2 linked regions of the Kluyveromyces lactis genome follow. The protein of the gene in region 1 binds, or shares a complex with, the protein of each later gene. Links are inferred from orthologs where the notes say so. Each region holds a gene or a part of one and is shown on either strand. Other genes may lie near its edges.

Evidence for each region. Proteins that work in one complex are often made in the same cells at the same time.
Region 2: the proteins of PML1 (region 1) and IST3 are in contact, whole or in part, in an NMR structure (PDB 2MY3), measured with the Saccharomyces cerevisiae proteins. The link is inferred for Kluyveromyces lactis from reciprocal best matches to the Saccharomyces cerevisiae genes PML1 and IST3. Residues at the interface, in NP_013116.1 of Saccharomyces cerevisiae: Ser23, Tyr25, Ile26, Asp27, Ile28, Met29, Pro30, Asp31, Phe32, Ser33, Pro34, Ser35, Gly36, Leu37, Leu38, Glu41; in NP_012270.1 of Saccharomyces cerevisiae: Asn39, Glu41, Leu42, Thr43, Glu44, Gly45, Asp46, Leu48, Val50, Val60, Arg64, Asp65, Glu66, Asn67, Lys96, Ile97, Gly98, Gly99, Lys117, Tyr118, Ala121, Val122, Glu125.

The regions. Positions count from the first base shown.
Region 1 is NC_006040.1:802,990-805,681, reverse strand, and holds PML1 (Pml1p), read right to left. Parts: upstream 1,261-2,692; coding exon 607-1,260; downstream 1-606. Other genes in the region: RNA-dependent ATPase HCA4, read left to right, coding at 1,587-2,692. UniProt on the Saccharomyces cerevisiae protein: Required for efficient splicing and pre-mRNA nuclear retention.
Region 2 is NC_006040.1:1,156,755-1,159,362, reverse strand, and holds IST3 (U2 snRNP complex subunit IST3), read left to right. Parts: upstream 1-1,371; coding exon 1,372-1,872; downstream 1,873-2,608. Other genes in the region: DJP1 (Djp1p), read left to right, coding at 1-112; KLLA0_D13442g (bifunctional 4-hydroxy-4-methyl-2-oxoglutarate aldolase/oxaloacetate decarboxylase), read right to left, coding at 329-1,036; actin cytoskeleton-regulatory complex protein PAN1, read right to left, coding at 2,018-2,608. UniProt on the Saccharomyces cerevisiae protein: Required for pre-mRNA splicing and spliceosome assembly. As part of the pre-mRNA retention and splicing (RES) complex, required for nuclear pre-mRNA retention and efficient splicing. Required for MER1-activated splicing.

The sequences.
Region 1 (2,692 bases):
GAATCCGTGGAACCAATTTTGGCTAAGGCTTCTGCATCTCAAGGCTCTACTTCAGGAGAGGGATTCGAAGATGAAGATGACGACGACTATTTTGATGACGAATTATAATCACCTTCAATACTCCGAAAACAATGGGAGACTATAAACTCAACTGAAAGAAAAAAAATAACGAATTCAACAATGCTTGTTTTCTTCCGTCCTGCGAATGAAGTCACATCCGAAAGCAAAACTTTAGTTTACTTTGCAATCTTTCAATTTCCAAATCTGTATTGTCTTGCGCATGTCATTTCTATATTTGACAAGCTCTGATGCTGACCCGTATGTCTGGAACAACACAACTGCGGAAAGTTCCATTGACTTGTACGCAACGAGAAGAATAAAGCAGCAAAAAAAAAAAAAAGAAAAAGTTCTTGTTTAACATATTTAAAACGAGTCCAACTACCTCTTCCATTCTCTAGCATACATCGATATTGATTTATCTTTTTCTCACATAGTTTTGTAATGTATAGAAATTACATTTCCGATTTTATAAAATACAAATAATATAAGGTTTCAAGAAATCGATTCTCAAGAAGGACTTGTACATGAAAAATACAAAAGAATAGATCATACGGCTAGGAAAATGAGCTCATAATCTGAATCATTTGGATCTTCAGATACGTGTATAATATCAGAGCTCTTTAACTCGATATACCGGGCGCTAGGAACGGCTGAATCATTCAAACACGTACCGTTGGAAGAATCAAGATCAATCAAGTATGGAATTAAAGATTCACCGACTTGTCGGAATTGTACGGCACAATGTTCTTTCGAACAGCTTTCCTCTTGGATTGGGATATCAGCAAGAATAATTTCCTCTCCATCAGATTCGAAGCGTCGTAGACTCTGACCTAATCCTCTACCGATAATATAGCAACTTTTATCATGCAACTTAGTTTTACTTACTTCACCCTTGACGCCCTTCCTATACACAACAAGCTCATAACGAATTTGATCCCACTTAGGTACTTTTAGCTTTTTATAGAAATCGTGGGGTGATATCGCATCTTTGGGCTCTACATGCTTAAGTTGTATGCCTTTTTTCTGGTGGCTTTCCAGTTCCAATAATCCTGATGGCTCAAATATAGGCAAGATTACTTTTTTTTGGGCACCTTCATAGCGGCTTCTTTTCGTTTCGTGATCGTATCGATATCTGCTACCTTCACGTTTGATGCTCATTCTTTTGGCGCCGTTGCTTCCATAGATGACGGTATATTCCATATATCTTACATATTTATTCCATATATTGTGCAATTCACAATATAAGGTTCATCTGTCATTTCATCGCTTTTCATGTTGTAGGAAAAAAGAAATAGAAAAGAAAATTTTTGGTAAATAGAAGAGCTCATCTCATCTCATCTCATCTAGATAGAGGTTCGAACCTCAACCTCAAGGAAAAGTAGTTTACTTTGTCTTTGAGCGGTATCATTAATCGACCTATAGAGAAGTTGATTAAAGTAGCAAACTGGTGCATTTAATCATTTAACTAAACGTTTAATCAACTGTGCCAATATAACTTATAATTGGTTTGCAAAGAGCATTTAAAGATGGCCAAGAAACAAAAGCATAATACCCAGCAGCGTAAGCTGATTCGTGAAAGAGACAGCCAGAAGATCAAAGATCTTGAAACTAAGGTTGAAGAATATAACCCGAAAATTGCTAAGGCTAATTTGTTTCAAGATTTACCCATTAGTGAACAAACTCTAAAAGGGTTGAAAGAAGCAGCATTTATCAAATTAACCGAGATTCAGCGCGAGTCCATACCTCTCTCCTTGAAAGGCCACGATGTATTAGGCGCTGCCAAGACAGGTTCTGGTAAGACTCTAGCATTTTTGATCCCTGTTATCGAAAAGTTATACAGAGAGAAGTGGACAGACATGGATGGGCTAGGTGCATTGATCATCTCCCCAACAAGAGAATTGGCCATGCAAATATATGAAGTGTTAAGTAAAATTGGTAAGCACACTACCTTCTCCGCCGGTTTGGTTATTGGTGGTAAAGATGTTACTTTTGAGAAAGAGAGAATTTCGAGAATTAACATTCTAATAGGAACACCAGGCAGAATCTTACAGCATATGGATCAAGCCGTTGGATTCAATACTTCAAATTTACAGTTGTTAGTACTCGATGAAGCCGACAGATGTCTAGATATGGGTTTCAAGAGAACCCTTGATGCCATTATTAATAATTTGCCTGCTTCAAGACAAACACTTTTGTTTTCAGCTACTCAATCACAAAGTTTGGATGACTTGGCTAGATTATCTTTGACAGATTACAAACAGGTAGGAACGATGGAAGTTTTAAATGCTAATAGTTCATCTGCGACTCCAGAATCTTTACAGCAGTCATATATCGAAGTGCCACTACCTGACAAACTTGACATTCTGTTCAGTTTCATAAAATCGCATTTAAAGTCTAAGTTAATTGTGTTTCTATCAAGCTCTAAACAGGTGCATTTTGTTTATGAAACTTTCAGGAAATTACAACCTGGTATATCTTTGATGCACTTGCATGGTAGACAAAAGCAAACGGCGAGAACTGAGACGCTGGATAAGTTCAGCAGAGCGCAACATGTCTGTCTATTCTCAACTGATGTGGTTGCTAGAGGTATTGATTTCCCATCTGTTGATTGGGTGATCCAGGTTGATTGTCC
Region 2 (2,608 bases), about 350 kb from region 1:
CCGGACGAAAACAGAACAAGAGGATGCCCAAGTGTTTGAAGAGCTCGTGGCGGAAGCAAGCAAGAAAAAGGGTCATAAGCATCACACTAGCAGCACTGCCAATAAACAGTGAATACAAAATATTCTCAAACCGAGTGCTTCCTACCTAATAATAGCATAAACACTTGCCAATTCTTGTTTTTTCATTCTTTATTTCTGCATCATGTTCATATATACATACATAGCTTGCTACTTAATTGACAATAATATTAATTTAACATAGCGATAAACTTTCGACTACGCAACCGAATATTGCAACTCCTGACGATCAACGGGGGAGGGCTGTAAATTACAAATATTGTTTAAGAATTGCTCTACGTTCTGATTGAGACTGAGCAGCAGGTTTTCCCTCCTTTATGTCTTGAGAAACAAGGTCATCGGCTTCGATAGACTTTTCTATATATGTGATCAACTTATCTAAGTCGACGGCGGCAGTTGGAATACGAACCATTCCATGATCATCACATACCAAATAATCGCCGGGATTAATTGTCTCCGTAGTGCCATCGCTAATCTTAATCTTCAACTCACAGTTATACGAAATCGGTTTCAAAACTGCTTTTGGAGCACAGGTACCGATACCGTAACTGAAAACGCTGTGATCCAATGCCTTATGCTCTTCGATATCTCTGATTCTACCAAATACAACCGTACCATGGCTGCCTAAATATTTTGCTCTTGTAGACATTAATCCACCGTACATGCCCTGAATAGGTTTGGTATATGGAGCACTGCTCAATTGTAAATCTTCAGTCATACCGATGGTTACGATAGATTCTGCTGGCACATTATCGATGTAATTGACACTGGGTTTATCTTGGGTAGCATTTTTATGCCCGAACAACACAGGAAAAGCCCTACCCACGATAGTCCCAGACCCTGACCTTCTCACCAAATTAGGGAAATATCCACCATTAGTGATTCCATACAAATTCAATAGCCCATCTGAGATGTCACAAGTAGTGAAATGTCTCAACCTTGCAAGATACTCTGACATTCTGCGTGTGGGAATTATAATTCAGCAGCGATCCCGGTAGTGCATAAACTCTGGATTTAACTTCTTTCGAGCGATGGAAAAGTGTTGATAATTTAAAGGTGTTAAAGATTTGAATAAGTTTCTTGAAAGTTCGTTTATATAAGAACAAGAAGACAATTGAAGGTGTTACGCACGAATGGAGGAACCGGAGAAGAATTTGACGGTTACCGAAAAGGAGCTGCAATTTTCTGATAGAAAGGATAAGGAATAACCAATAGAGCTGGTACTTTGCGGTCATTGGGAGGCTGGTTCAACTGTGAATATTTGGAAGTGAAGATCCAATACGATTATCAATTATGAATCAGATAAGGTCGATACAGAAACTTAGTGAAAGGGAGTTGGAATGTGGGATTCTAAAGCCAGAAAGCTCATGGCATCATGAGTATAAAGATCAGGCCTACATAAACTTTGGAGGGATGCACCTCGAATTGACAGAAGCTGATATTCTCACCATATTCTCCCAGTACGGCTGTCCTGTGGACATCAAACTTGTACGCGACCAGACAACTGGAAAATCTAAAGGGTTCGGGTTTCTCAAGTATGAAGATCAAAGATCGACTATACTTGCGGTGGATAACCTAAATGGAGCCAAGGTTTGTGGAAGACTGATACGAGTAGATCATGCTTTTTATAGGCCAAGATCCGATGAAGCTGAGTACGAGGAAGCTGTAAGACAAGAGTTGGAGAAGGATTTCGCAAAAACAGGAGACGTACCGAGTGAACCCATGAAGCAAGAATCGGTGGCTGACCCGTTGGATGAGTTTGCTGATCCAATGGCTGCGTTTCTGAAGAAATGAAATTCACATTCCTAAAGGAACAAGTACGGAGCAGTTCTTTTATGACAACGTAGACTTTTAGTTTCAAATGATATTTATGTACATATCCTGTAACTACTTTTCAATAATTTAGATACATGAATTTACGGACGCGAGAGCATATAACTTATGGCATCGGTGGTGGTGGAGGGATGACCGGCACTGGAGGAGCGGGAGGAGCGGGAGGGATTGCGCCAGTAGGTGCGACAGATACATCTTCAGCACCTGGTGTATGGAACTTATCTTCCTCATCAGAGGCCACCGACTCTGGGATAGATAGTACGTCGGATGCATCATCCGGCTTTGGTTCTTCGTTCTCTGCTAAAGTTGCAGTTCCTCCTACTTTTAGTAAAGGAGCTGCCACAGGAACAGCAGGTGCTACGTCACTGTTTATTTGAGGCAATGGTGGGGCGATAGGTACTGGTGGGGCACCAGACCCTTCAGTAATCGACGTAGGCAATGGAGGTGGAGGTGGGATCAGGGATGATTCGCTTTTAACTAAAGGCAAAGGTGGTGCAATAGGAACAGCGACAGACGATTGTTCTTGAGTGGTTGCAGAAATCTGTGGGAGAGATGGTGCCACAGGAACGGACGCGGTAGATGTAGCAGGAACAGCGGTACTACTGACATCAACAGCTTTGTTGGCTGTAGTATTTACCTTCTCTGTTTCGTCATCATCTGACCATCCGTCACTGTCATCCAAGCCTCGTTGAACCCT